2 linked regions of the Saccharomyces cerevisiae S288C genome follow. The main gene of each other region encodes a partner of the protein of the gene in region 2 in a complex. Each region holds a gene or a part of one and is shown on either strand. Other genes may lie near its edges. The genes, in order: DBF2 and MOB1. A codon is read from its position in the direction of its gene.

Region 1 (15,956 bases), on a different chromosome or scaffold from region 2:
GGAAAACCGGGCGGCTACCGATCTTTGTCAGTGAAGAATATAAGATATGATGATTTCGTATATGTATATGAGTGTGTACATGTGACAAAAAAGATTGGAAACTTTAGTACATCCGCAAATAATGGATGGCAGTTTCATACCCCCAGAAACTCACAAAAGTGGTGGGTATTGTCTTGGAAAGGGCCACCAGAATACCTCTGTAAAGCGAACTCACACCTTCTTGTTTCAAAATCTGTAAACCGATTCTTGCGAATCCGTACCCTTTATAAGAACCGTATACAGACGAATGACGGGAGAACTTTTCCAGATGCTTCGAATTCATGAACTGCATTCGCCTACGGATCGTTTCGAGGGGGAAAGTAATGATCTTAGCAATGACGCCGCCAATGGTACCAGCGCTGTGATTTAAAGTAGCCAGTTCCCATTTTTTATGCGCGGCGGTCGTTTTTTCGTTTTCGTCACAGTATATCCTGATTGTTTCGTATGTTCCGAACATTATAGATGCGGTTAGAGTTATGGTTGTCATTGACGCGATGGAGCCCTTGAAAAATCCGGGGAGACCTTCTAGTTTCCAGATATCACGCACTTCTCTCGTGATGCTCATTGAGTGCATCTGGTTGTTGGCAACTAGTCGGGTCCGTAAAACATCGAACGGGTAGGAAACGATGGAACTGGTTATGCCAGCAAAGGCTCCGACAACAAGACTATGTAAGCGCGCCTCTAGTCCAAATGGAGTTAAATATCTATTAAAAAGGGAGTATGAACTAAACTGCGCTGAGCCATAGGTAACGTACAGCAAAGAACCGGGTATGTTACCCTTCCAAAAGGACCGGATGCCTTCGTTCTTTATCATGCTTCTGGCCACCTCCATGACCTGACTTCCGAAGGGCTTCAGCCCATTTGCAGGGGTCAATTGCAATCTGATCTTAATGGTATCCATGGGAGCAGTTATGCTACGGGCAAGCAGCCCGGATACGGCGCCAGCCAACAAAGTTTTCCACGCGGCCACATTTTGCCCTTTTCTTAACGAGTCCTCCTCTTTGAACATATCAACATTTATGTACTTTGAATGGTTTATATAAAGCTCCAGACTATGCCAAGTTAAAGGTGACAAAATAGCGCCTTTTCTTCATAAAGACTATTATGTACCTCTCTTTTTCTTTTTACTACTTTTTTTTTCCTTTTAAGCGCATCGGATTGTGGAAAAAAGAGTGGAAAATTTGTTAGATGAACCAGTTAAGATGCATAAAATATCTCTGCATATATGGTAATAACAAGGAGCCCAATACCAAGAATAGATTAGATTCTGCTGAAAAAAAAAAAAAAATGAGCGTCCAAGCAGAAATAGGGATATTAGATCATGTAGATGGTTCATCTGAATTCGTATCACAAGACACCAAGGTTATTTGTTCTGTAACAGGCCCTATTGAACCAAAAGCAAGACAAGAACTGCCTACACAATTAGCATTAGAAATTATTGTACGTCCCGCGAAAGGGGTGGCCACAACAAGAGAGAAGGTACTCGAAGATAAATTACGGGCAGTTCTGACCCCACTCATCACTCGTCATTGTTACCCAAGACAGCTCTGCCAGATAACTTGTCAAATTCTGGAATCTGGTGAAGATGAAGCCGAATTCTCCCTGAGAGAGCTAAGTTGTTGTATAAATGCGGCATTTTTGGCTTTAGTTGATGCAGGAATTGCCTTAAATAGTATGTGCGCAAGCATCCCTATTGCAATAATCAAAGACACTAGTGATATCATTGTCGATCCCACTGCCGAGCAATTGAAGATTTCGCTCTCTGTCCACACTTTAGCTCTGGAGTTCGTCAATGGCGGTAAAGTCGTGAAAAACGTTTTATTGTTAGACAGCAATGGTGATTTTAATGAAGATCAATTGTTCAGTTTACTGGAGCTGGGTGAGCAAAAGTGTCAAGAACTTGTCACAAATATAAGAAGAATAATACAGGACAATATATCACCTCGTCTAGTTGTATAGCCATTATAGATTATAATATACCACAACATGCTATGTCGTATGCCGGAGACTACCTCTTATATTTGGAAATAGTTATTATTCAATGTTCTAAAATTCTTAACATTTTCGTTGTTACATATACATAGCATATATATATATATATATTACATTAATTTTTATCTACCTTCAATCTACAATTTCAAACGCTTCAAGTTTTCAATAGTAGCTTCCAAACCTTCGATTTCGGCAACAGTGTTATCCAGCTTGCTTTTATTGGCTTCCTTGGCCTGTGTATTAGCCTTTGTTTCGTAATCCTTACTGTTAATGGTTTGTTCAATACCGTTCTTGGATTTTTTAGCCTTTTCAAGTTTCTTTTGAACTTTCGCAATTTCAGCATCAATATCAACGTGTCCCTTGACGAGAAGATGTACATTGACTTCTGGGTTAACAGATTGCAATACGCAACCTTCTGGAATTTCGGAAGCATCACGAACAACAGTGACTTCGTCGATGGCCTTGATCAACGAGACAATAGAATCTTTCTGATCTTCAGCAGTTTTGAAGTATTCCTCGTGGTTAGATTCAACGAAAACCTTACCATTCTTCAAAATATTGTACTCAGATAACAAGGAACGAGCTTCTTTGGTAATGTTCAAGACCAAGTCGTAAGCATTGGCCGATTTGACATCATCGTACTCAGATACGTAAACTGGATAAGAAGCTTTTACAATTGAGGCAGCCTTCTCAGTGGAACGCTTTGGAAGTCTTTGCCACATTTCTTCAGAAATGAATGGCATGAATGGATGGATTAATTTCAAAGCGTTGTCCAGCAAGATATACAATGTATCCTTTGCGGACTTCTTTTCAATAGCAGAGCCTTCTTGAATCAAGTATTTAGAGTTCTCGATGTAAACATCACAAATCAAATACCAGAATTCGTAAATACTGCTAGTGGACGTCAAGAAGTCACGTTTATCTAGAGCTTCATTGACAATTTTCGAGGTTTCAGTCAGCTTGTGCAAGATCCATTTTTCAACCAAGGATTCGTTACCTGATAGACCTTCAGTGGCAGGTGGTTGATAATCGTCACCGAGTCTCATCAATGCAAACTTGGTAGCTTGGTAGATTTTGTTACAGAACTTTCTGTAACCTTCGACACGTAAGATATCTAAGTTAATATCACGACCACCAGTGGTATAAGCACATAATGCAAACCTCATAGCATCGGTACCACATTGAGGAATACCGTTAGGGTAGGATTCCTTTTGACCGATCTTAGCTTTTTCAACTTCTCTTGGATCTAAGTTACCTTGTAATAATTTTGCATGCAAATCATCCAACTTAATACCAGTAATAACGTCTAGTGGGTCAATAACATTACCTAAAGATTTAGACATCTTACGACCTTGAGCGTCACGGACTAAAGAGTGGCAGAAAACTTCCTTGAATGGAACTGAACCGGTCAATTTTAAGCCCAATAGAATCATTCTAGTAACCCAGAAGAAAAGAATATCCCAACCAGTTTCCAACATAGAAAAGGGGTAAAAAGTTTCCATGTCTTTAGTCTTCTCTGGCCAACCCAAAGTGGAGAAAGGCCACAAACCGGACGAGAACCAGGTGTCTAAAACATCTTCATCTTGTTCCAGAGTAAATTTGGAATTAGGGTATTTGGCAGCAGCCTTCTTTTCAGCTTCCTCCATGCTCCTACCAGCAACCCAATAGTCACCATCAATTCTATCGTGTTCTTCGCCTTCGATATTAATAAAGTAAACTGGACAACGATGACCCCACCATAATTGTCTGGAAATACACCAATCTTGGATGTTACCCAACCAATGGAAATATTCAGCCTCAGAAGATTTGGGGGTGATGGTAATTTGACCATCCCTAACAACCTTAATAGCATCTTTGGCCATTTCACTTTGAGAAACCCACCATTGAGGTTTCAATAAAGGTTCAATAATGTCACCAGATCTGGAACAAGTTGGAATGGTCATTTCATTATCTTCTTGGCCAACGTATAGGTTCTTTTCCTTCAGCTGCTCAATGACCTTCTTTCTGGCATCAAACCTCTTCATGCCTTGCCACTCTGGACCACACTCCTCGTTTAATAAACCATCGTCAGTCAAAATATTGATGAATTCCAAATTGTGACGCTTACCGGTATTGTAATCGTTTTGGTCATGGGCTGGAGTGATCTTAACGGCACCAGTACCGAATTCCATGTCAACAGCTTCCTTGTCGGTGATAATTGGAATTTTTCTTGGTAAGAAAGGATGTTGGATGAACTTACCATGCAAGTGTTTGTAACGGTCATCATCAGGATGAACTGCAACGGCAGTATCACCAAATATAGTTTCAGGTCTAGTTGTAGCAATGATCAGTTTTTCATCGCTACCGATAACTGGATAAGCAAATGATGTTAAAACACCAAATTCAACCTTTTCATCATAGCCTGGGACTGATAAAAGCGTTCTACTTTTAACGTCCTTATTTTCGACTTCCAAATTAGAGATAGCGGTATTCAATTTAACAGACCAATTAACTAATCTGGACGCACGATAAATAACACCTTCATCATGTAGTCTAACAAAAGCTTCTTCAACAGACTTGGTCAATTCTGGACTCAAAGTGAAAGCTTCGCGGCTCCAATCATAAGAAGCCCCCAATTTTTGAATTTGGTTCTTAATTCTGCTATGGTATTCCTCTTTCCATTCCCAGACCTTACCAACAAAAGCTTCTCTTCCATAGTCATGTCTAGTCTTTCTGTCCTTAGCCCAGATTTGCTTCTCCACAACGGACTGAGTAGCAATACCAGCATGGTCGAAACCTGGCAAGAATAAGACAGTTTTACCTTTCATTCTGTTATATCTGATCAAAGAATCTTGGATAGCAATAGTCAAAGCATGACCAATATGTAAGGCACCAGTGACGTTTGGTGGAGGTGCTGGAATGCAAAATACACCTTCTGGTTTAACCTTACCATCAGCGGTAAACTCAGGTTCAAAAACACCAGTCTTGATCCACCAGTCATACCAAGAACTTTCAACGTTAGCAGGGTTATAAGCTTTTAAAGCCGGATCATCCAAGGATACTAAGATTTTTTTCTCACCTGGAACAGTTTTGTCAATAAATTCAGGGATTGGCTCAACTTCCTTCTTTTTCTTAGGTTTCTTTTGAGATGCACCTGTGGTGGCAGCAGCATTTTTTTTAGCTTGTTTGGCAGCGAACTTTAACAGTTTTTCAGCCTTTTTCTTCTCTTTTTCAATTTCCTTAGGAGTCTTTGGAGAGCCATCTTCCTTTAACGGATTAATGATGACCTCACCAGTCTTTGGGTCAACTGGAGGCAAATTATCAAGATCGCTCATTTTAAAGAACCTGACTTGATTATGAGTTAACGACTTCTTCAGAGAAAAGTTTTGACAAAGTGGTAATGATCGCCTATAATGACAGTTCAAAAGCCGAAAAGTGAATGTCTTAGATAATGTGTTTAACCACTTATTCATACCATCTAAGTAATTCCATAAATCTGAAGGACATACAACAACGATGACAGCCAGTGGTAGCACACACAGAGAACACCAGTAGGCTGTATGGGTGACTCTTCTAAAAAAATTTTTTCAGCGCGGTCTCTCGAAGAACTTTACCCGGTTTTTCTTTTAATTCATCACCTCTGAGTTGCTAGGTCTCTTAAACGTTCAGAGGTAGCATGACTTAGTATTCTACATATATATACATATATTTGGATATATTTGAAATTCTAAATGAAATAGTTTTAGTTTAGTTTTCTGTGAGAGAAATGTCATAGGTCCTGTAGGCCTTTTGAAACTTTTCAGCCTCTATAGTCTCTTGTTGCTTAGTTTGTAAACAGGTTGAAGAATTCCATTTCACCCTGCGTGGCAAGTTAAGTAAAAAGGCTAGTACACGTCGTCCAAACTGCAGATCTATTGTCTCACTGGCATTAAATGTGGCCAAATATATCTTTGGGTCCGCTTCAGGAGTCTCGTAGACGGTAAATTGTAAATAATTATTGGATTGGTTGTTAATTACATCCACATATTGTTTGGAAGAGTGTGAATCGTAACATTGGAACTCTAGCTTAGCATTTCTTGTGAATTTTTCGTTATTGAAATGAACCTGTCTATCTAAGGCACTGCAGAACTTTAGAACGAGGTATTTTGGAACGGGAATAACTTGTTTGTGGAAATGAATAGAACGTTCAGACTGTATTTCGAAGACAATCGTGCACATATCAAATTTTATGTAGTTCATCTTCACAAGACTAGCTTCATAAGCCAAAATACTCTGTGTCAACTCTGCGTTCTTGCTTGGATCTAATTTCGGAATATGTTCAATGGGAATAATGAGGCAATGGCCTGAGATATCCATATCACCCTTAGGAACACTTAAAGGTCCCTTCGCTGTGGTTAAATACACTAGTTTGCCGATTGATATTATCATATGATCCTCGAGGTTTGGATTTGAAAAGCAGAAATGACAACTTGACGGCAAAATCGTTCGAATTTTTTTATTTTCATTCTTTTCTCTATTAGCAAGTACCTGTTTGTCTCCATCGAACGAATTCTCTGTTTCTGTTTCTAGTGGCCTTTTATTGCTGTTTGTAACCACGCTATTATACGGGTTAGCTATCAAGTTGGGCGGTTCAGGTTCATCCTTTAGTTCGTTGTCCCCTATTGGCATATTGAATGCATAGGCCCATTTCTTTCCAGATCCATATTTTGGAATATTGAGGAACCTCGATAAGCGCTCTCTTTCCCACTGGAAAGGCTCTAATTCGTAAAAGTTTATTTCATCTGAAAAGGCAAAATGGTACCTTGCTTGTAACTTTTTCGCCAATTCATCAACAACTTCACTTCCAGACAACCTTCCACATCTCTCAGAGATCGAAAGGCCCCATTCTTTTGTAAGGAGAATGTCTACCTGATCCTCACTTTTGCCAAATTCGTCCAGTATGCTTTTTTTCTCCCCTTGAAGAGTATCATCCGGATAAATAAAATATGAAAGAGTGATTCCATTTGCTAATTTATAAGTACCCATATTATGCAGCAATGTTACATTTTCATTTATCTTTTTGGATTTCGAATTGTTAGCCTTATCACACGATAGTAGTATTAGTTGAGGTAACCCATCAGTATTCAGCTCAAAATTTTCATCATACGAGTTACTGAATATAATTATTAGATCAAAGGGCCCTGATTTTTCATTCACTTTCTTGATCTTTCTGATAGCCTCATCGGCATCGCTTTCACTTATATGAGCTACTAAAATCTTTGCATTTGTCATCCTATTTTTATATGTAAGTTTTTGAAGTGAAAAAGATATCAGTAAACCATAAGCCCTTTTTTATATATTATGGATCCTTCTAAGAGAGCTACCTTGCGTTTTTTGTACATCTAGCAATGTAGTATCAGTCCAATTTGTAATTATCATTGAAAAAACAATTGATGTTAACACCCATTCCTTTTCATTTTTTGCAGATTTTCGATTAATAGTGGTCATTGCTGTTTTCCTGTAAAACATTACCAAGTTTCGCCGCTCCCAACATGAATGCTTAAGTTTAGTTCAAAACGGTCATGGGATGGACCGTTACCGTGAACTGAGATTTTAAACAATGGGCTTGAAGTCCTAAGTAATGCACAACTATATATATATATATGTATATTTATGAAAAAAGCGTTCATAGGTGCTAGTTGAAAAGTTTGCATGAAGCTCGTTAAAGCTAATTATATCGCGGCGAATGCAAGACAAGAATTCATTTTTACGCTAGTAAAAGGTTGAAAAGGGGTCTGAGTGTTCCAGTCCGTTGAATAAGATGCCACTGGAACCCTGTTTACCATTTCTATGTCGGAAAGTGAACCCAACAAGTTTTGATGATACTGCCGAGTCATCTACCATAGCCGTTAATTTGTCTTGTCTTTTGAAAACATCAGCATATTTGGCCATGTCAGCCTCACTGGTGAAGTCATCAAAATAACCGGCATCAGTTTCGCTGTCTAGTTGGGGTGTAAAAGGCGGGATCATTGACCTCAAAGTACTAAAGTTTATATCTGCAAAATAAGACATGCGTTTAACATGTTCGAAGGATCTTAATCGATTGATTGGATCGGCAATCAATCTTGTTATTAAATCCCAAGTTCTATCGGAGAATGCTGCCCTCCCATCAGATTGTCTCGGTCTTCTTAAAGTTTGTTTCCAGCGCCTTAAGTTGTCATAGGTCTCATTAGTCGATGATCCACTAAATGGTGTATAACCAACTAAACTTTCGAACAGCATACAACCCAACGACCAGTAATCCACAGTAAAGTCATATTTCTTTCCTTCTAAAACCTCCAAAGCCATATAATCCGGAGACCCAACCATGGAGTTCGCATAATTAATTTCCTTCTCCCTCAACTGGTTGTACATTTTTCTTCTATCTTCTATAGATTTCTCTGTAAACGCTGGAAATTCCAGGTCCTTGATTTTTTCTAACCTTATCTTCATACTTTCAATTCTTTCATTAGAAATCGTACCAGCAGCCAAACCAAAATCTGTTAATTTTATATGTCCCTTGGCATCGATTAAGAAGTTTTCCGGCTTTAAATCTCTATGTGTATAGCCTAAATCATGTAACGCATTAACAGCGCAAAACATTTCACTGATGTAAAATCTCGCATGGCCACTTTTCAAGCATCTAGTATTTATTAATAATGTACGAAAATCACCGCCTGGTACAAATTCCATAGCCAGGTATAAACTTTGTAGGTCTTGGAATGCATACAGAAGTTTTACTAACCATTCAGACCTTGTCGTGGTTAGGATATCTCTTTCAGTTAAAACGTGTTTTGTCTCGTTGAGCTTAAACAATAGTTTTTTGTTCAAAATTTTCAAAGCACACACCTCTTTTGTGTCTTTCTTTCTGGCTAAATAAACTTGCCCATAACCACCTTGACCTACTTGTGTGATCATTTCAAAATCCCTATTTTTTGGTTTCAACCTTCTTTTTCTCAAAACCTGATGTTCCCTTTGTAAGTAAGAGGACCACTCTTCGTTGAGTTTAATCTGGTCAGAATTCGGAAGTTGGCTTTGCTGTTGCAGGTATTCTAGAACTTGCTTCGTGCGTTGTCTTCTACTAATTACATAGTCAAACATATCACAGTAATGTTCTAGAAAGTACATTTTGCAAACACTAACAACTCTCTGTGTTTTATTTGAAGTTGCTCTTTCGTAAAACTTTGGTGGAAGCTTCTTGGGAGAGTTCGAGACATCCATATCAGGTTGAGATACTTCGTCTATGTCCATGTTGGAAGTATCTTCGTAAGGAAAAAAGGATGGTTTTACCGGCGAAGGTGAATCATTGATACCCGCAGGCCTTGTCCTCCTCTTTGTTATATTTTGGTTAGGAAATAGTCCAGTGCCCCCAGGAGTCCCATGCCCATCGAAACTCAAATTGCTCATATTGCCTGCCAAGAGGTCGACATTTTTTTCTGATTTTGATAGCATATTAAAGAATTTTTCTTTAGCAAGGAATACTGTAGATGTTGCTTGAATTTTTCTGGTATATTAGTTTCTATCTTTAGCAAGGTTTCTATCTTACAATAATTTACTTGGACGAATTGCCTCCTTGTATTTATTTTTAAATAAACAACAAGCGGAGGGCTTCAACATCAAGGTAGCTTCGAATGATTTAGATTGAGGAATGAAACATGTCATTGTTTACTTTTTGAATAATTACATTTCCTAAAAAGGGCATCTGGGTTGCAGCGTGTGGTGTTTGGCTTTTTACGAAATTTATGAGCGAAAACGCTCTCGCCGGTCACTACTATATAATATCTTTTTAAATATTATCAAGTATGTAGAAGAGCCCTAACCATGACCGGAAAACCAATTGGTCTCTTCTTCTGGGTTAGTATGCTGTTTCTTGTGCATTTGAACCATCTCTGGCGACAGATTCGGTTGCTCTGTATTATGACCCAAGGAGATTAGGAATTCGTCAGCTTGCTGATTAGCCTCAGAAATCCTGTGCTTCATTACCTTTGTTAGCTTGGCTTGATTACCAGCAGATCTTCTGGAACCTGATGTAGCTCCTACTGCTTGTTGTAAAGAAGTATTAGACATACCCAAACCAACTTCTTCACCATAGGAATCAAGAACAGTTTGTTCTTGCTTGCCAAATTCCATCCTATTTTGTAATTGTCTGACATGCGATAGTCTGAATTTTTCCTTGTACTTCCTAAATTTTCTCCCAGCTCTTTTCTTTTTGGGTTGGTCCTCCGGAATAGGTAGAGCCTTCGTTTCAGAAATGCTCGGGGCTTCTGATAGCTTTCTAGCTTTCTTCGATAGTTCGGCTTTCCATTTATGAGCTAAAACTGTATTTCTATCACCGTTTTTCTGGCCAGCATCAACTCTTGCGGCTAGTGATACTTTTGCACAAAGCATCCTAAGCATTTGTTTATGGACAGAAACGGGAAATTTCTGAATCATGTCAGAAGCAAATAGATATCCTTCTTGTCGTACTCCACTCTCTAATGTATGTAACTCATGTGAGAGGTGCTTATTCTTCCCAATGGACGCAATGTTGCAACTGGGAATGCGACTGAACTCCAAAACCCCTCCAGCATGTGCTATTAATTGGGCTGCTATCTCCGGGCCTACCAAGAAACACACGTTAGGGGCAATTATTGATATCTTTGAGGCTATGTATTGACCTATATCTTCTTGTAGTTTCCATAAATTTTCCAATATGCTATTTGCTTCTAAAATTTGCGTCCTCGTTTTGATGTCCAATGGCTCTTTGTTTTTGAAAGACGTCTTCATGGACATTGTTAAAACGAGGATCTGCTCTCTGGTCAATTTTGCTTTATTTTCCAAGTGGAAAAATAGTTCATCACTTTCGTTTTTTGAATAATTTTCATTTTCCAGTATGCTTATCACTTTTGAGTATTGTAATGGTGATGGTATCAATGAAGATAGTTCTGGAAAACGTCTACTGTACAGTGAGATTAGAAAATTGTGCATTAATTTTATATTGCTCTTGATGAGGGGGATGATTTCGTTAAAAAACGGTAACAGTTTAATGAAATCTATTTCTTGTTGTTGAAGGATTCTTTTTAAATCGACAATTTTTGGTAAAATCTGTGCTGTCTCTGATAGAGATAACCTATCAGGACTGATGAGTGCCAACGTCCTGAATAATTCTATACTTTCCGGAAGAATTTCGAATGGATTGAATTTTTCTGTTTGACAATTTACCGTAGTGAGCTTTTTAGTTTGTATGTCTTCTTTTTCCTCATTAACTTCATCGGCAAGGTCATATTCGAGCTCATCGAAATAGTCCTCTTCAGAGCTCATAAGGTCTTTGTATATTTTCTGCAGCCAAAATGCTATCAAATAGTGCTAGTTGAGGCGTTCAAATCGTTTACCTAGCTTTATTCTGAGCGTCGCCACAGCAGTACTATTCAAAACTTTTAAAAATACTAAGTTAACTTGTGCCAAATCGCCGAAAGGACCACATCTAAAAAAAAGAATTAAAGAAAAATATTCTTTATGTAAACTGCCGGCTGCTTTAATTATTTAATATTATACAGATACTTCTAAAAGTTATGATTTTGTTGTTTATTCTAATCTGTCTCAAAATTTATAACCATGTCATTCCCGAATGCAGCAATCTCATGAAATATGGCTTCTTTATTTAAAATCACATTCTCATCATCCACTGGTTTAACGTTGCAATCCAAGTTTACTCTAAATTTGTGGGCTCCCTTGAAGAGTGGCTTTATTAGCCCTGTGATGACATTTTTATCTCCTTTCTCTCCACCATTCACACCTATATACTTGCGGCTTGATAAAATCAAACTATTCTTGTACTTCAAGTTCAAATACTTCACTAACTGGTATGTTGGATCCATTTTTTCACTTAAATCATTCAAATTCTCTGGAAAGTTCGATGGGGCTTGATCGTTAGTTATATTCTTGAACTCTGTGGCTGAAAGTATACCACAGGATGATTTCAAACCTATTGGTGTCCTCAAATCAACGACAAAATCGTAATCTTTTAATCCAGGCGTGAATAAAAGATTGATAGTTTGCTGGTTTAAACCGTGTGTCTGTAAAAGATTCACGGCTACTTTAGCTAATGCTGTAAGCCTTGTAGCAATGGGTAGTGGGATACCTGATGAATAAAGAATACCGCTTGGATCGTTCTTAGAGGCAACAAAAAATTGCAAATGTGTACCGTTGGGATCACTGTTCCTCAAGTTCGTGAAGTTCATTTGAATGCCCTTATATTGTGCTAGGGTTAATCTTTCAGAAAGCTTTTTCATCGTTTTGGAGTCTAGCTCTGAGCCAGCTCCAATACTTGTTTCAAATGTATCTCTTATATCATCTTCTGGTTTTACTAGATCTAAAATCAATGGATCATCTTTCCAGTTCCATTGACTTATAAACTTAAGCACTTTGAGGAAACCGTTTTCAAGAGAACCTGGAATGAAATATGGTGCAGGATCAACAAAAGGTTTAATGGCAATCAACTCTGCTAATTCGTCCGTTATATGACCTAGTAATAAATGAGTGTCCAACCATCTTTTGAATAGTCTTACCACAGGGGAGTAGAATTGATACGAATGAGATATATTCTCCAAAGTACGAGTATGTCTTACGGAAGCCAGATATTTTGCAGTAAATTTTAGGAATGTGGCCTCCAATTCTGGTTTCAACTCATTCCTAGCATTCGCTATAGCTCTTAAATAAAGGATTTCGTCACGTTCAGTTAGAACTCTGAATTTGAATCCATAACCTTCAGGTGTCAAGATGTTCAAGGTTACAATTTCTAAATTGTATGGGATGGATTCATCTCTGCTGAAAAACGACCTATAAGTTGAAGAGTTAGCGCTTAATTCTTCTTGAATTTTGAGAAGAAAAGCTGTTTTAGCCTTTTCTAAGGAAGTAATTTCATCTGGCCATTTAGGTGAGGTTTCAAATTCCAAAATGACGTCTTGAAAGAAATCTGGATCAGAGTATGCGAATGGTACTGGTTGGCATAAGGAAGTGTATCTAAATGCAGAGCCAACCGGTAAGATTGATTTTACAGAAAGCGGTAACTTCATTTGGAAAATTATTTTGTATAAATCGTCAAAGGATTTCTTTAAGTTGAAAAAGCTGCTCAAGTTCAAAACTGATGTTTTAGCACTTGAGGGTAAGTTTGGCAACGGTAGGAAATTATGAAACTTCTTGATAGTCTCATTTGATATTTGTGCCTTTTTTGAAACATGTTTCTGCAATGCAAAGTTAACAATTGAGGAAATGATGGGCTCTGATGAGGATGTAGACCAAACACAACAATGGGTGATGGAGCCATCCTTGAATCTTCTTAAGGAAGATTTAATTCCCCAAAAATTCTTAAAAACGGCTGCTTCTGTAGACATAGTTTCAGAATGAGCAGGGCCCTTGGTGACTAATTTGTCACATTCAGAGGGGTTAACAATCAATTTTACTCTTACAAAATCAAAGTTGAAATGGTTACCTCCTGTGTTAGAGTACACTTTTCTTTTGGTGATTGGAAAATCGGACTTTTGACCAACCATTTCAATTTGGATATATTTGATTCTATCGCCCAATGCATACCTTGCAACATTTGTAATCTTGTGGGCGAGGAAATTCTCCAGAGTAATAAATTTTACTCTTTCCATTGACCCAAATGTAGCAGCTAAAGAAGTTTCTAAATTATTGTACTTACCCAAAGGTAACTGTACATCGTAACACAGATCGTACTTCAAATTGTCAAAACGGCTAATATTAGTCAAAAAAATATTTGAGAATTGGTCTTGAACAACGTTGTTTAGCATTCTCAATGTTTCACCGGCATATTCTTTCAAAATTTGATAAGAAGAAACAGTCATTTTTGTAAGAATATTGACCTTGGTTGACTTATCAAATAAGGTTGGAGTTTGGAAACCCTCATCAATATATTTAGAAGCTGGTGAACTGGAGGAATTCTCTGGATTAGAATGAAATTGTAAATGGCCGTCGTGGCACAAATCCATAGTGGCTAAGTATTTTATTACACCTTTAAACAATTGGTATGATGAAAACCCGTGAAGTAATATCTTGTTACTATTTATACCACCACCGTTTAATAACGCTGCCATCAAGATAGTAAATTCAAAAGTACCGAATCCACCCAATGAACCAGAATGCGACATATTGGATGAAAACCCACGTTGCTGCAGCCATAATCTACCTAAAACAGTAGCTTCAACAAAAGATTCTGTTTGTTTCTTCGTCTTGTATAAATACTTCAGGTAGTTTTCATGTGTTGAAGAAGATAACACTGAAAAATTGTAAAGAGGAGTGGCTGGTAAAGATTGCTCTTTGCTTTCTTGTGCTATTCTAATACAGTTTCTATTGGGTAACAGTTTTTTTGGTTCAAAGACTTTGTATGGGAAACCAATAAGCAAGTTGATAGAGAATCTGGTCTTGTAAAAGTTATAATCAGAAAGAGAATCACCCGTTGGTTTGGAACAACTAATTCTTAAAATTGGTAAAAGCGGATCATTATCAAAATAAGAATACTCGAGTTGCAAAAATGAGTCTAATTTATCTTTTTTCAATAATATCAATAGGTGGTGGGTTAGGTATGCTAAATAAACGCTCCTCTTGTGTAAGCACCTGAAATTTAAGAAATCTTTTTTTTCGAACAACTCCTTTGGCATTGTTAGTAAAGTATCAATGGAAGAGCCGTTAGGTTGATAAATTCCAGCTTTAAGAGCAAAGGAGCCAATTAAGGAGATGTCTGGTTTCTTGTAATTGAATTTATAATTAGTATTTTGAGGAATAGGTTTGGGGTCAACAAATGGAACAGAAACAATCTTGTTTTTGAAGAAGGAGTCCACTTCAGCTAATGACTTTTCCTCCCAATCAGGAATTTCCTGGAGAATATCATATAACTTGTGTAGAAATTTTTCGACTTTCAGAACATGTTTTTGTTTTAACTTCACTTGCTCCAGTAATTCGTCAATTTGTAACTTGAAAATATTAGACTTGAATAATTCAGCCGTTTCTCTAGCTATGTGAATATCATAGGACTCTGTTGCAGTAACCTTTCCATTGTGGCGAGTCGCAGCAGTGTTAGTAGCGACCTCGTTACTTTCAGGTGAAGTATCGCTTTCGTCGTTTTCTTGCTCGGGCACGGTACGCTCGTTGATGGCTTGACTACTGTGATCATTTTCTTTGGATCCGTTGTCAGTTGTGCTGTCCTGTGTGGAATGTTTCTTTTGCACTTTAACAATATTCTGGTCAGAAGTCTCAGATGCTTTTCTTTTAACACTTGTAGCCATGGTATATGAAGGAGATCCTTTGTAAAATTTCTATGAAAACTATAATGTTCTACCCCAAAGTGATTATACCTGTGGTTTCAATAATTCAATCAGAGGATAAATCTAACAAAGGAAACTTTGAAGATTTCTTGGAGTTGGTTCTTAAAGTGAAAGCAAATATCTGGCCTTCAAAAAAGCAAAATGAAAACGTCCTGTTTCCAAGTATAAGAGCTGCCGATTTAAATTCTATTAAAAAATAGAATGGAAAAGTATAAGATTAAAACCCTTTGGTTTGCTTGAGATTCTTGACGTAAAGTGCTAGTGGTACATATTGAAATTATCATTTGGTTAAATTTTCCAAATTACAATTGAAATTTTTCAACGGCATGCAGCGAGCCGTAGGCCGACGTTCCCAGGCAGTGGCCACCACCGGTCCTGCCTAAATCTTTACTCGGCCCTGGGCCAACCTTCATGGATGGCGCGATAATTCTATACCGGTCGCCCACCGGATGGACAGAACTTCCGTACAACAAGCAAAAAAAGAGATATATAAAATTATGCCACCTGTCAGAATTGAACTAACGACCTTTGCATTACAAGTGCAACGCTCTACCACTAAGCTAAGGAGGCAAATTTTTACCAAGAGACTCAGATTTGAGAACTAGG
Region 2 (15,751 bases):
CAACAACCTTTCAAATATGAATTCTTCACCAGCACAAAATCCAAAAAGGGGTTCTGTCTCCAGGAGTAATGATAGTAACAAGAGTTCTCATATAGCTGTTTCCAAGCGCCCCAAACAGAAGAAGGGCATATATAGGGATTCTGGTGGTAGAACAAGACTACAGATTGCCTGTGACAAGGGCAAATATGATGTAGTCAAAAAGATGATTGAAGAAGGAGGTTACGATATTAATGACCAAGACAATGCTGGTAATACAGCATTGCATGAAGCGGCGTTGCAAGGTCATATTGAGATTGTGGAACTGTTGATAGAAAATGGTGCAGATGTAAATATCAAGTCTATTGAAATGTTCGGCGATACTCCCTTGATCGATGCTTCCGCCAATGGACACTTGGATGTTGTCAAGTATCTTCTTAAAAACGGTGCGGACCCAACTATACGTAACGCTAAAGGGTTAACTGCGTTTGAATCTGTCGATGATGAATCTGAATTTGATGATGAAGAAGACCAAAAGATTTTGCGTGAAATAAAAAAAAGGTTGAGTATAGCCGCTAAAAAATGGACTAACAGAGCAGGAATTCATAATGACAAATCTAAAAATGGCAATAATGCTCACACAATAGATCAGCCACCTTTTGATAATACCACAAAAGCCAAAAACGAAAAGGCCGCTGACTCACCTTCAATGGCTTCCAATATTGATGAGAAAGCTCCGGAAGAGGAATTCTATTGGACAGATGTTACTTCTAGAGCGGGAAAAGAAAAACTGTTTAAAGCTTCGAAGGAGGGACATTTACCATACGTTGGTACGTATGTAGAAAATGGTGGTAAGATAGACTTAAGGTCATTTTTCGAAAGCGTTAAGTGTGGCCATGAAGATATTACAAGTATCTTTTTGGCATTCGGATTTCCCGTAAATCAAACTTCAAGGGATAATAAAACATCCGCTTTAATGGTAGCTGTAGGTCGTGGCCATCTTGGAACTGTTAAACTGCTATTAGAGGCAGGTGCAGATCCAACCAAAAGAGATAAAAAGGGTCGTACCGCTTTGTACTATGCCAAAAACAGCATAATGGGAATAACAAACAGTGAAGAAATTCAATTGATTGAAAATGCTATAAATAACTATTTGAAGAAGCACTCTGAAGATAATAATGATGATGATGATGATGATGATAATAATAATGAAACATATAAACATGAAAAAAAGAGAGAGAAAACGCAATCACCCATATTAGCAAGCCGAAGAAGTGCCACTCCTAGAATTGAAGACGAAGAGGACGATACGAGGATGCTCAATCTGGCAGACGATGACTTTAATAACGATCGTGATGTCAAGGAATCTACAACTTCGGATTCGCGCAAGAGATTGGATGACAATGAAAATGTTGGTACTCAATACTCATTGGACTGGAAAAAACGTAAAACAAATGCCTTGCAAGATGAAGAAAAATTAAAAAGTATCTCACCACTCTCTATGGAACCTCATTCTCCAAAGAAGGCAAAATCTGTAGAGATAAGTAAAATACATGAAGAAACGGCTGCTGAAAGAGAAGCAAGACTCAAGGAAGAGGAAGAATACAGAAAGAAAAGATTAGAAAAGAAAAGAAAAAAAGAACAGGAACTACTACAAAAGCTGGCCGAAGATGAGAAAAAAAGGATCGAAGAACAGGAGAAGCAGAAAGTCTTAGAAATGGAAAGATTGGAAAAAGCTACTTTAGAGAAAGCAAGAAAAATGGAAAGGGAAAAAGAAATGGAAGAAATCTCTTATAGAAGGGCAGTAAGGGACTTATATCCGTTAGGACTGAAGATTATTAACTTCAACGATAAACTTGATTACAAAAGATTTTTGCCGCTATATTATTTTGTAGACGAAAAAAACGATAAATTTGTGCTCGACTTGCAAGTAATGATATTGTTGAAGGATATCGACTTGCTCTCAAAGGACAACCAACCAACTTCTGAGAAGATTCCCGTCGATCCCTCGCACCTGACTCCATTGTGGAATATGTTGAAATTCATTTTCCTGTATGGAGGTAGTTATGATGATAAAAAGAACAACATGGAAAATAAAAGATATGTTGTAAACTTTGATGGGGTTGATTTGGACACAAAGATTGGGTATGAGCTTTTGGAGTACAAAAAATTTGTTAGTTTGCCCATGGCGTGGATTAAATGGGATAACGTTGTTATTGAAAACCACGCAAAAAGAAAAGAAATTGAAGGAAATATGATTCAAATATCAATAAACGAATTTGCACGATGGAGAAACGATAAGCTGAACAAAGCGCAGCAGCCGACGCGCAAACAGCGTTCTCTAAAAATACCTCGAGAGTTACCGGTTAAATTTCAACACCGTATGAGCATATCCTCCGTCCTCCAGCAGACATCCAAAGAACCATTTTGGTAAAACAATTCATCGGTCCGTTGGCATATGCTCATACATAGTTGCATTTTCGATTCATTAAATACTATTCATGTTAACATAATTCCATATAATCGTACTGTTTTGTCATTATTATATCGGCATGACACTCACCAATTTCTTTTTTTGATTTTGTATTGTTCGATAAGGCAACGAACGAGTACTCGAAAAAATGTCATGGACCCCTTAAAATTACTGAGGGGTTCAGAAAATACCGTGCAAAAGACGAAAAAAGACGAATTTCATTTGATTTATATTTTATAAATGACTGTTGCATTAAACAATAGACCAATTATTTCAATTTAATATTCTTTGCAGGAAACTTTCACAATGGAATAACGCCACATATTCATTGTAAAGAGCATGTATAACAAACACTGATTTTTGTTTTGAGTTTTAAAAGATATCCATTTACTAACATTCGAGGTGTACAAGCACAAGTTTTGCAGTGTTGCGTACTTCTCTTACTAAAGGGGCACGGCTAACTGGGACAAGATTTGTTCAAACAAAGGCCCTTTCGAAGGCAACATTGACAGATCTGCCCGAAAGATGGGAAAATATGCCAAACTTAGAACAGAAAGAGATTGCAGATAATTTGACAGAACGTCAAAAGCTTCCATGGAAAACTCTCAATAACGAGGAAATCAAAGCAGCTTGGTACATATCCTACGGCGAGTGGGGACCTAGAAGACCTGTACACGGAAAAGGCGATGTTGCATTTATAACTAAAGGAGTATTTTTAGGGTTAGGAATCTCATTTGGGCTCTTTGGTTTAGTGAGACTATTAGCCAATCCTGAAACTCCAAAGACTATGAACAGGGAATGGCAGTTGAAATCAGACGAGTATCTGAAGTCAAAAAATGCCAATCCTTGGGGAGGTTATTCTCAAGTTCAATCTAAATAAGTAGACGAGGAAAATAAAATTGTTTCGTATATTCCGTGTTTGGGGTATAAGTAGATTGTTTTCATATATACGCATTTGGTCTTAGTTCAGTAGGTTGATTACTTAGTTCCTTGTACCTTCTTCTGCAAATATCATTCATTGTTACTTCGAAGAAGAAAAAAAATAATCATGGAAAATTGGAAAAAAAAAAAGTCCAATCTAAAAAATAAAAATGTTCAAGTCATCGATTCTATGGGGAGGAAAAGGACAATCAGAACCGAAGTGTTGTGTAGCTAAAATATGTCATTTTCCTTCGGCTTTACTTCCAATGACTTTGATGATGATGAGCTTGTTGCTCAACCTGAAACATTCGTTGAAAGCAGCAAAGAAAACGAAAATACCACTGCTTACATCAATCCATTAGATTCGGATTTCTTGTCGCAAGCTGGAGTTGTGCAGCCAAATGTGGAAGACCTAGGAACAATATTGGAAAGTCTTAAGGATGTTAGATTGACATTTGAAGAGTTCCAATCTCCGATATATAGAAAACCATTGATCAAGAGGGAACTATTCGATGTCAAACATCAGCTAATGTTAGAGACAGATGCCCAATCCAACAACAACTCCACGGAACTGGACATTTTACTAGGTGATACTTCTGAAGATTTGAGAAAGAACATCTATGAAGGTGGGTTGAAATCATGGGAGTGCTCTTATGATTTAGTTGATTTGTTGTCAGAGAACGTTGATAGAATAAGCAACGATATCGACGCGGTTGTCGAAATAGGCTGTGGTACGGCACTACCCTCAGAGTTTCTTTTCAGATCTGCTCTTCTACGGAATGATAGAAGTAAAGGTTTAAAGTTTGTTTTGACTGACTATAATGCCAGTGTATTAAGATTAGTTACCATACCGAATTTGGTTATAACATGGGCTAAAACGGTTTTGACAAAGGAACAATGGTACGCCTTACAGAAAGACGAATGTGAAGATATTCCAATAAATAATGAGGAACTGCTTCTTACCTCAAAGCTGTTAGCTGCCTTTTACGACGATGTACAAAGCAGGAATATCAGCGTCACTCTTATATCAGGATCGTGGGGACGTAAATTTAGTAATTTGATCCATGAAGTACTCTCAGGTAGCCAAAAAGTCCTTTCATTATCCTCAGAAACAATTTATCAACCTGACAATTTGCCCGTTATAGCGGAAACAATACTTGACATACACAATTTACCACAAACCGATGTCAAAACTTACGTAGCCGCAAAGGATATTTATTTTGGAGTCGGTGGTAGCATCACTGAATTTGAAGCTTATTTGGACGACAAAATAAACTCCGAACATCTACCAATTCATTCTGAAAGGTTTAAAGTTAACTCTGGCTTAAAAAGGTCGATTATATGCATTGAAACAAATAAAGCTATCCGATAGTTAGTATAATTTGTTTCAACTTCATTTCCTTAAGTTAATCCATAAGTCTTTTACTGTATCTTTTATTTATAACATGGATGAAAATAGAAAAGAAATATAGAAGTAAAAATTAAAGTAACTGTTCAATATACATAATATAATTGGAAAGCAAAAATGCAACCAACAAAAATATACAGTTTCTTTTTATCATTGATTCCCTTTTAGCCTTATTTGCTAATTCTGGCTTTCATGATTTGTAAGAATTCTCTGTAACTTTCGTTATTCAAAATCTTATCCTCCACTAAGGTGCTAGAAGCCCATAGTCTTAGCGTTGCAACTTCCCTAGCAGATGCATGGTTAACGGGCTCGCTCAAAGAGGCACCCCTAACAATATACAATGATTGGTAAGTGATGACATCATCATGGTTTCTCAATTGGTTGATAATGTTTCTTACTCTTTGATTGAATTCAGAATTTTCAACAACAGGTATTTCCTGTTTGCCAATTGGAATGTCAAAGATATCCTGTGTTCCAAACACATCGAATACTAGCGCTGGTACAGCGTCACCACCCATCCACAAAAACAATTCGTTACCATTATCTATCAAGTATAGACCGTATCTTTCAAACAACGAAGAGGTAGCATTGATTGGTTGAGGCAAAACAATTGTGCCAGTAGCTTCACCATCTTCAGTTTGCACTGGTAACCCAGCCTCATCAGCCATATCATGCAGCGAATAAACATCAGGGTAGATGTTTTTGATTAGATATTTCAAAGGTAATGATTCTAAGTTGTTCAAGGCCGAGGCGCGATGGTCACTTGGGACAATACCAGATCTAAATGCCATATGCTTAGTTAAAGAATGCATTAACAATGGGAACATTCTCAAATTGGCACATAACCTCAATGGGGCCCCCCCTGCAGTGTTGGACACCACTATTTCCTTCTTGTACGTGGCTAAGATATCTTGCACGGATTTGTTGATCAATACTCTTGCATCGTCCAAACTGGAATTCAATGCTTTCTCCACCGCCTTCGAGTTGTAAAACGACGCTATAGCTAATTGGTCAGCAGATGCGTAGACTTCTGCCAACGATTCCGTGGTTGGCATAGCCAATGTTATAATTCTTATTCTACGTTGACTATTATTCAGAGATAAAAGTACCGCTACTTGAACATAACAATAGTCAGCCATAATGGATTCATCAACGTTAACTTCGAATAAGTATGATTGATCTCTTGGCATGGTGGAAAATGCACATAAATCAGATGATCTATTGAAGAAGTGACCATAGAATCTACTCATTCTCAAACCTGTGGAACCACGGGCTCTCATTACGGTTTCCATACAGAAATCCATGGAAATGTGCTTGGCAAACTCAGTGGAAAATTTGACAATATCATTTGGGTTCTTGCCTGAAAAACCAGGATAGAAATGCGTTTGACCAGCAGTGAAACGACTCAAATTCGATAGTGATGCAACGTCCATATAATCTTCAGAAGCCAAAAATAAATCGACAGTAATCTGTACTTTAGAACAATCGATGGTGAAATTCTTATAAAATGAGTCTTGACAGGAAAGTAGTTGTGCAGTTTCCTTGGATGTATTAACAACACCACTTTCATTTCTCCTTTGTAATTTTCCTATGCCTAAGTTGGGCAAAGTACCTGACACAACAATTATTTTACCACCAACGCCACCAATTAAATGATAAGCGGATTTCAAAGCGGGGCCCAGTGCGAAATTTGTGATTAAATTAGATTGGAAGATTTGAGGAATCTTGGTCAATAAAGTTTCAATGTTTTGTCTGCAGGCCTTTAAGGACACAACCATAGAGTTTGGTCTGGGCAAGAAAGGCTCTTCCAGGTCGGCAATATCCATCATGTTGATTTGATCGGCGGACTCTTCATTGTTTTCAGAATCCAATGGGATTTTAAAGTAGTGAATGGCGTTGTCTACACATAAGATGGAAATTCTGGTTCTTTCATCATGGTTTGGAATGGAATCAAGATTTTGCAAAAGGGTGTTGATGGTAGTGGCCAGTAACCCACTCTTGATAGAGGACTGGGAGACATCGATCAGGAAACAGTAAGTGGCTGGAGGTGGTTGTCTTAGAGTATATTCCTTTGGGGCCATATATTCCATCACAGCACATTTGATTTCATTTCTGTCGTATCTACTCTTTGGGTCGTTTGGATCGCTCTGGTCCATTTGCATAGGAACGTCATTGGCCAGACGACAAAAGTTACATCTCCATCTTCTGCCTTGCTCGATAAAAGTGACAAAAGGGTTCATGTAAGAACGACAACGACGACAACGGACAATAAGTCCATCTTCATTCAATGGAGGCGGGTCGATATCGTCGTACAAGTGTTGGTATGGTCTGATAACAAGCCCAAATGGAAGTTTAGACTTCTTCAGCAGGGAGCTGTTCTTAGGAACGGCGTTCAAGGTCGACCTGATATAATCTGGAGACGCATTGGACAATTCAGAAGGAACTAACATCCTTTCTGGAGGAATAACCAACGGTGGGGGAGGCAAGGTCAGATCGGTAATTGGAGGAGGCAATTCCGTCAACAGATCGATTGGATACAACTGGTTCATGGGCCTCATGTTTTGGCCCATTGCGGCGCTAGGTTGGCCATACGCAGGCGCTGCCATTGGTTGTTGCTGTTGCTGCAAAGGTGTGCCCATTTGCACGGGAACCTGTGGCTGCATATAAGCGTTAGGATCGACTAGCGGTACGTTGTGCAGATGCATATCGTTCATGGAAGTGGTGGCCTGATCAATTTGCTGGTGTAACTGTTCTTGAGCAGGGGTTAGGAATTGTTGCTGCCCCATGGAAGGGACTGCACCCTGTGGCGGCATTCCCATCTGACCATAGCTCATTCCAGCTGCAGCAGGATCCTGCGGAGGCATGAATTGTGCTGGCTGTTGTAGAGGGGTGGCATTTTGTCCATACTGGAGCTGAGCTTGTGGGTAAACACGTTTCTTGTGATGAGACATTTTGCAGATGGTCTCAGACTTATATATTTATGTCTGTTTCAATGCGGCAAAAATGGACCTGAGTGCCAGATAAAACCTTTTTGTAGTGCTATTTTTGGCCTGTTTCCTGATGTACCATCCTCCTTACATAGTTTTGTTTTTCTTCGTTTTCGTTCTTCCAGTTTTCATTTTCTTCTGCCGTAAATGGAAAAAACAAGAAAAAAAAAAAGAGAACAGCTAAGCGTTAACAAATCTGCTCCAGTGGCCATGTCCAAGACTGTTTTTCAAGCCCAGATAGTGCCTGAATAGACTGCATTAAGCTGAAAAACTTATAGCAGTGGTTAGTGCAAAATGCACACTTGTCAGTGCTATGTATATTTGTGACACGATTCTATCACCCAAACATAGCACTAATTACTTTTTTGTTACCCGGCATTCTAGGCGGAAATTTGCTGAAATTTTCCATCAATTAATTACGTAACCTATTCTTTTAAGAGCATGATGTTGTATATAAATATAGATCACCTTAGGAACAGTCAGGCTTTCTTAGGTTTCAGAAGTTCATGTGTCTTGGCGCAGTCAATTCTCTCGATCTTTTTTTGGTTTGGACGTTTAAGAGTAGCGGTCGCCGGAAAATAGAGAGAAAAAGGAAATTTAAAAGGAGTTCTTCTTTCTTCTTATTATTAGATCGTATACAGTAAAAAAAAAAAAAGGAAGTAGTAGTTCGAAGAGAAAGAAATAAATGGTAGGCTCGAAGGATATTGATCTATTCAACCTGAGAGAGAACGAGCAAATCGTTTCTCCTTGTCTTATCGTGCACGGAAAATGCAATAAGCAAAATGGTGCGAAGACCGTTCAAGTGCAGCATCCACAATTGCCTCCAATTACTTACCCCATACATAATCAGTTCTTCAAGGCCACTGTGATATTGACTCCTGGTGAGAACAAGTTGACCTTTGTTACAGACACTAACACCGCTAGGACAATCGTATGTTACTACACACCACTGACGCAGAACCCTCCCGTACACCTGTGTCTGATCTTGGCCAAGGATTCGCCTTTACAGTTTGACTCTCCTCGAGAACAGAAGGACAGAGAGGGCGGGAATGGCCTCGAATTGGCAATCAAGAAGCTAAGACTTGGGGCCAGACTCATGCAAGCGTACACGAACGAGCAAATGCTGAGAAACAGTATGGGAAATAGGACGTTTCCCTTTGTTGAAGAATTTACCTGGGACACGCTGTTCGAACGGCCTGCTATGAGAAACACCATCAAAATACATGTAGTTCGTTCGGAAAAGACGGTGAAGGAAATCCAGGACCCTGACATAGCTCAACAGAATTCCAAAGGGAAAAACACCGGCGCCCTTTTTGGGATAGCCATGGACGCCCTTAAAAGTTACGGCGGACCCTTCACCAATAACGAAAAGCCTGTTCAGGCAGCTTGTATGTTTCTAGACACCCACTGGGATGGTAAGTTGATTAGAGGCCACGCCGCATTGGGTGGGGGTGACGACAGCATTAAGCTCGCCATTTTTGGGTCGCACGGGCTTTACTCATGGCCTACTTGTCTCGAGCAATTGGTGCCTTATTTTACTGATGAGACAAGATCCTCCACCAGTGAAGTCGCCAACGACTGTAATGAGTGTGGTACTTACTGGGAATGTTTGACTATCACGTTGGGAGCATTTATGCATGAGATTGGTCACTTACTGGGTTGTCCTCATCAGGAAAGCGGTGTTATGCTAAGAGGCTATACCACTTTGAATAGGTCTTTCTTGACTAAAGAGGCTTATTCTGTAAGAACTAATTCAACTGGTGCTAGTCCTCCCATCTTCCCCAAGGAAGAATGTACCTGGAACCGTCTCGATACGGTAAGATTTTTGTACCACCCCTCTTTCACTTTACCACAGGATTATTACGATCCATCGTTCATGAGACCTACAAAATTGGGCGGATACCCCAATATAAAACACTCTGTATATCCTTTGGGTAACGGCAGTTGCCGCATATTATCGCCCACAGGAATCTATTTGATTGAAATTATATGTGATGATTTGGCCAGGGGCCATATTGAATACTTGCCGGTTTCCCTAGGTGGACAGGGGCCTCAACGGGAAGTTATAGTAACATTAGATGATTTACGTGCCAGGTTGCCCAAGAATGAACTCGCCAAGTTTGGCAATACCTTCAAATTGAAAATTCTTTCTGTTAATGCACCGGAAACCGAGTTCGACAAGTTCCCATCTTTGTTAGATGTTCAGCCATTAGACATGTCGAAATATGGGTTTTCTAAAAATGTTCAAGGTATCAAATCACCACTTTATGGTCGCAGCGACGGTGGTAATGCTGTCGGCGTCGTCGCTTTTGATGTTAGATTAGTCACTGCTGTGAGAATATACCATGGCTATGCATTAGATGGTGTGAGGTTTTATTACAAGGAAAAACCAACTGGAACAAAGGATGCTCCCGCATCCAAGCCCTCTGTACCACCAAGAAATTATTTCTCAAAAATTACACATAGTATCAAAAATCATGCTTCAATAAACGAAGAAAATCTAAAAAGTGTACTCTTTGGACATGAAACACAAAATTTTACGGATGCTACACTAGAACCGGGTGAAATAATCATTGGGTTTAATCTGAGGTGCGGAGCTTGGGTTGATGCTATCCAAATTATAACGAGTCATGGGAGAATGACCGACATGTTTGGTAACAAAGACGGAGGTGGGTTCGCTGAATTGCAGCCACCTAATGGCCAATATATCCTAGGTGTGACTGGCAGAGTCGGTCAATGGGTCGACGCCTTCGGAATTATTTACGGAGCTTTATAGTAATTAGTCAAGGTTTTTTTTTTCTTATTTTTTTCTATTTCATAACTTAGTCATATCAAAATATATCTATTAAATTATTTTCCATATATACGTAGATATTCTTCATTTGCATAATTCTTTGGGAAAAAGGAAAACAGTTATAGAAAAATATAAACAAAAAACCGCAACACTTCATGATTGCGTCGAACAATATACCTTAAAGAAGAAAAAAAAAGGTTGGTTTTATCACTTCATTAGTCTATTTGAATAATTCATAAAATATTTCTGATTTTTTTTTTTTTTTTTTTTTTTCATATTATTTTAAACGTGACTTTGGCTGCGATTCATGGTTTTTGCCCTTATATCTTCGTTGTCATTATTATCAGCATTATTAGGATAATCCTTTCCATGTAATAGAAAACTTTTATTTTTCAACATGGATAACTTTTCGTCCACTTTATCTATTTCAAAAATTTGCCTTGGTGTAGCCGCTGACTTCTTTACATTAGGTACATTAGAAGCCGCTTTATTGTTGTTAGCCAAAAGAGGATTCACGTTGTTTTGATTTGGAACAACCCTGGGACGATGTATCGAAATTGAGGTACCTCCACCATCTAAGATGTTATTAGAAGTATTAGTGGCCATAAGTGGTGCAGATAATGGTATTCTCGAATCACCATTTTCATTCTTGATGTTAAAGTTGCTCCCAATGAGAGTGGTATTATTGCTGCCAGTTTGAGCACTAACGCTATTCTTGGGTTGTTCTGATAATTCACTCTGGGATGAAGATGCAGAAGTAGGATTAGATCTTTTTCTTGACAAAAAGTCACTTGCAAAGCTGCTTCTTGCACTTGGCGGAGCTGTTGGTATAACAGAATATCTTCTTTCATTATAAACAAGGCCAACCTCCTTTACTCTGGTGGTATTCAAGTCCGTTTGTGGGACCTTAGAAAATGAATCCGATGCTTCATCATACTCCCATAATGACCAAGTGATTCCATATGGTTTTGGTTCTAGGCAATATACACAATGTAATGGGACATCCAAATTGGCAATAATACCCATACTCAAGTTCATAAAATAACCCAATAAGGCTCTTGCCACCACCCGGTGTGTAATAATAAGAACGTTATCCTCGATTCTTTCTAGTTCTGTGATAACAGGTCTGAGTCTATTAATAACGTCCATATACGATTCACCGCCAATACCAGGGTATCTGTATCTCAACTTATCTTTCTGTCTTTTTTCGAATTCTTCAGGAAAGTTGTTTTTAATTTCTGGATATGTCATACCATCATAATCACCTGCACTTAACTCATCTAACATTTTCATTTGTTTGATAGGATAATCATCTTCGTTGAAATATTGAGCAGTCCCTATAGTCCTAGCACGCATGCTGGTCCAAACGAAAAAGTCATTATAAATGTTCCCATCTGTATTTTCATTATTCTTTTTTTGTTGCATGAGATTTTGATAAAATATTTCTCTCTGTCTGGCAATGAATTTTGGTAGACTTTTAGCAAATCTTAGACCACGAGGAGTCAAATGGGAATTTCCGCCTATACGGCCACTAACATTATCTTCGCTCTCGCCACTTCTCGTTATCCAAATTTGTCTGTCAGCCAAATTGAAATTTAACAAATAATATACCGTCTGCGAAGCTAAAAACCCTTGAATATTGTATGCGATGACTTTCTTTCCCACATCTATCATTTTGATGTACTGCAAATTTTCGTCATCCTCAATTGGTTCATAGGCTTTCAAGTAGTTTGCCAGGCGACTTTTAAAATCTTTTAAAGAGCTTTCAGGATCTTTACCTTTGTAATCTGGACCAAATAATTTGAGTCTAATATTTTTCTGTACCAGTGCATGATCCGAACAAACAGATTCTAAAAATAAAACCTTCAAATGAGGACTTCTCTTTCTGATTCTAGCCAGAACGTTTTTTCTTCTTTCACGAGAGGTATTTGTAGCATCAAAAATTCCCACAGATCCTGAACCTTCTAATAAATAATCTAGCAATTCATCCAGAGTATCCATGGCCCATTTGTCTCTCAACCTAGTAGAGTCGGCGTTTTTCGGCTCGAAAAACTTTGAATCCTGGTCCTTTAGGCCATGCTCCTTAGCAAACTTCCTTCTAGTGTTACCGACATTAAACACTTTACAATAGTATAAAGAATAATTTAAAAATCTGGATAATTTATTTGTAATAAATGACTTTCCCGTAGCTGGCAGTCCGACCATGACAATCACTAACTTTGATCCACTATCTTCCTTTGATATGAGACCATCTGGAGATGTTTTAGACTTTGTTAAACCAGGAACATCGATGGTGGTAGGTCTTCTTTTATGGTGTCTCGTAGGTGATTTAATGTCTTTCAAATCAATCCGAGTTACCTCATTTGCTCCATCTGAAGGAGGCATGTAGTCAGTAGTATCGTTTGTGGGAATTTTAGCATTTTTTAGTTGCGTTTCGTCGTTAATATGCAATCGATGTAGCGATTTCAAATTAGTAGCGCTATTTTCAGGAGAGTCAGAAGGTGTATTTTCTTCAGTGATTCCAGGAGAGTTCCAATTGCTCGATATAGGAGTATCGCTCAAAGGTCTTTTCTGAAAAAGTGGTAAGTGCTTAGATAATTCATCATGCGGACCCTTTTCAGCATCAATTTTATCATCGGAACTCCGGGATAAAAGATCATAACTGGAGTCTTGACTAGGTGCCACATGGTGTGGAGATTGTGTAGGAGCAAGATCAATATCAGGCGGCACAGGAGATGTTTCAGAGAAGTCTACTGGTTTGAACATGAGCTTTTATTCCTCTTGCCTTTGTTCCCTTGAATAAACCCTTCTTCTACGCCTCTTGTTATTATTTTTACTCTTTTAGCTTATGGCACAAAAGTACACAAATAGATACTAAAAGGCGAAATTTATTTCACTTGATTTACCCGTAACTGAATACTTGAGTTTGTCTATATATATATATGTATACCTTTTATTGTTAAAAAAAGAATATGCCAACAAAATCTATAATAAATAGTCCATGTACTCCACTATAAATTAATTTGCTATTGTCAGTAATGGCGCGATTAAAAATAAATAGGAAAAGAAATCTCTCCTCAAAAAATCTTATGTCCCCTAATTTCCGTATGTTGTGATTTTGGTATTCAGAGATGATCACGTGATATAAACGTGATTATTATTATCGGTCGGGTATCCCACTCGTATAATATGACAAATACGTTCGATCAAAAGAAGGGTAATACTACTTCCCAAAATGGAAATATCAAAACGTTAGAAGAATTACAATTATAGCTTTGGTAACATTACTGATCTAAAAGAGCCTTAGCTCAGCCCGTTTGAGCTGTATAGATATTTTTTTAGTTTATTCGAGAGAAAACCGGTTTTTTTGTTAGTATCTTCAACAAAATTTTCCTAATTCAATAAGGACTTCAATTTCCATGTCTTTTCTACAAAATTTGTATGTTGCTATTTTCTTTTCTACTTCAAGTATTATTGTTCATCTTTTATTAACAAACTGGGTATGAGTTACCTTTTGAAAGCAGTCATATAAGTCCCGGCCAAACAATAAGATCTACTAGAGGTTTCAAGTGGAATACTGCCAATGCAGCTAATAATGCAGGCTCTGTATCGCCTACTAAGGCAACTCCCCATAACAATACTATTAACGGCAATAATAATAATGCCAATACTATTAACAATAGAGCAGATTTTACAAACAATCCAGTAAACGGATATAATGAAAGCGACCATGGAAGGATGTCTCCCGTCCTCACTACGCCAAAGAGGCACGCCCCTCCGCCTGAACAATTACAAAATGTAACGGACTTTAACTATACACCATCGCATCAGAAGCCGTTTCTACAACCGCAAGCAGGTACGACAGTTACAACACATCAAGACATCAAGCAAATTGTGGAGATGACACTGGGGTCTGAGGGAGTCCTTAACCAAGCTGTGAAGTTACCGCGTGGTGAGGATGAGAATGAATGGCTAGCGGTTCATTGCGTGGATTTTTACAATCAGATTAATATGTTATACGGGTCCATCACAGAATTTTGCTCCCCACAAACATGCCCGAGGATGATAGCGACGAACGAATATGAATATCTTTGGGCATTTCAAAAGGGTCAGCCCCCCGTTTCGGTAAGTGCCCCTAAGTATGTGGAATGTTTGATGAGGTGGTGTCAAGACCAATTTGATGACGAATCTCTTTTTCCTTCCAAAGTCACCGGTACCTTCCCGGAGGGATTCATCCAACGAGTAATTCAACCAATTCTAAGGCGATTATTCAGAGTTTATGCGCATATTTACTGTCATCATTTTAATGAAATTCTTGAACTAAATTTACAAACCGTACTAAACACAAGTTTTAGACATTTTTGTCTTTTTGCACAAGAGTTCGAACTACTAAGACCGGCTGATTTTGGTCCGCTGTTAGAATTAGTGATGGAGTTGAGGGATAGGTAGTATTGTATATTTATATAAGTCTGCTTGTAGGTTGTATTCTTCCATGCATGGGACACAAAAACAAAAATACGGAAACATATTAATATAACATATGGATGGAAGGAAATAAAAACATTCTAGTTTACTATACTTGTATTTATGATTTGAAATCGTTTATTGGAGTTTGAATATAAATATTGGGAACTTGATCTTGTAATTCAGAATCATTAGTATCAGGTAATGAAGACATGGATGTATTCGTATTTGTTTGATTGTCCAATTTTGGTGTTACCGTGGACCCCACATAATTACTATTTATATCATCGTTTTCATCATTTTCTACCATTGTGCTATTGGCATTACTCAGCTGATACTTATTAATGCTGGTATGGTTATTGGTTAGCTTGGGTTTCCCATCTGAATTCAAGTTTAATTTTTGTGTTATGAATTTATACTTGTCTTGTATATTCGAAGTAGATGTTAAGATCTTCAAATTATCAAACCAAGACATCATTGATTCATAAGAATCGGCTTTAAAAACCCAATTGTGACCACGACGAATTATGCCGTTTTGCTTAGCATGCAACACAAACTTAGCATCCGAACCAGTCGAATTTGGTGATGATGTACTGTTTTTCCGGGAATGTTCCGTCACAGTACATTCACTTAATGCTAACGACATCACTGGTACTAAATCTTTTTTTCTGTCCGCGGTCTTGAATTCATGTAAAAAGTTCGGTGTCAGCACATAATACCCTTTTGAA

Evidence for each region.
Region 1: the proteins of MOB1 (region 2) and DBF2 are in contact, whole or in part, in a crystal structure (PDB 5NCN), measured with the Saccharomyces cerevisiae proteins. Residues at the interface, in NP_012160.2 of Saccharomyces cerevisiae: Leu141 (codon at 14,484), Asn142 (codon at 14,487), Ala144 (codon at 14,493), Pro148 (codon at 14,505), Arg149 (codon at 14,508), Gly150 (codon at 14,511), Glu151 (codon at 14,514), Asp152 (codon at 14,517), Glu155 (codon at 14,526), Trp156 (codon at 14,529), Ala158 (codon at 14,535), Val159 (codon at 14,538), Val162 (codon at 14,547), Asp163 (codon at 14,550), Asn166 (codon at 14,559), Gln167 (codon at 14,562), Met170 (codon at 14,571), Leu171 (codon at 14,574), Gly173 (codon at 14,580), Ser174 (codon at 14,583), Glu177 (codon at 14,592), Phe178 (codon at 14,595), Phe231 (codon at 14,754), Pro232 (codon at 14,757), Ser233 (codon at 14,760), Lys234 (codon at 14,763), Val235 (codon at 14,766), Gly237 (codon at 14,772), Phe239 (codon at 14,778), Leu273 (codon at 14,880); in NP_011606.3 of Saccharomyces cerevisiae: Lys99 (codon at 9,186), Thr100 (codon at 9,183), Val103 (codon at 9,174), Val104 (codon at 9,171), Val106 (codon at 9,165), Cys107 (codon at 9,162), Lys108 (codon at 9,159), Tyr110 (codon at 9,153), Phe111 (codon at 9,150), His114 (codon at 9,141), Tyr115 (codon at 9,138), Met118 (codon at 9,129), Phe119 (codon at 9,126), Val122 (codon at 9,117), Arg125 (codon at 9,108), Leu158 (codon at 9,009), Glu161 (codon at 9,000), His162 (codon at 8,997), Gln163 (codon at 8,994), Leu165 (codon at 8,988), Arg166 (codon at 8,985), Arg168 (codon at 8,979), Arg169 (codon at 8,976), Leu170 (codon at 8,973).

The regions. Positions count from the first base shown.
Region 1 is NC_001139.9:661,713-677,668, reverse strand, and holds DBF2 (serine/threonine-protein kinase DBF2), read right to left. Parts: upstream 9,481-15,956; coding exon 7,762-9,480; downstream 1-7,761. Other genes in the region: thiamine transporter TPC1, read right to left, coding at 104-1,048; exosome non-catalytic core subunit RRP46, read left to right, coding at 1,327-1,998; VAS1 (valine--tRNA ligase), read right to left, coding at 2,169-5,483; DRN1 (Drn1p), read right to left, coding at 5,758-7,281; U4/U6-U5 snRNP complex subunit PRP31, read right to left, coding at 9,844-11,328; rRNA-processing protein UTP22, read right to left, coding at 11,598-15,311. UniProt on the Saccharomyces cerevisiae protein: Ser/Thr-protein kinase involved in the mitotic exit network (MEN) and required after the metaphase to anaphase cell cycle transition. Phosphorylates CHS2 to regulate its dynamics and chitin synthesis at the division site during cytokinesis.
Region 2 is NC_001141.2:152,437-168,187, forward strand, and holds MOB1 (Mob1p), read left to right. Parts: upstream 1-13,978; coding exon 13,979-13,998; intron 13,999-14,083; coding exon 14,084-15,008; downstream 15,009-15,751. Other genes in the region: HOS4 (Hos4p), read left to right, coding at 1-2,410; COX5B (cytochrome c oxidase subunit Vb), read left to right, coding at 2,786-2,786, 2,875-3,329; HPM1 (protein-histidine N-methyltransferase), read left to right, coding at 3,609-4,742; COPII subunit SEC24, read right to left, coding at 4,949-7,729; YIL108W (putative metalloendopeptidase), read left to right, coding at 8,451-10,541; PFK26 (6-phosphofructo-2-kinase), read right to left, coding at 10,842-13,325; SLM1 (phosphatidylinositol 4,5-bisphosphate-binding protein), read right to left, coding at 15,145-15,751; YIL105W-A (uncharacterized protein), read left to right, coding at 15,228-15,368. UniProt on the Saccharomyces cerevisiae protein: Functions as an activator subunit for the DBF2 protein kinase. Binds to DBF2, which is required for the phosphorylation and activation of DBF2 by the upstream kinase CDC15 in late anaphase.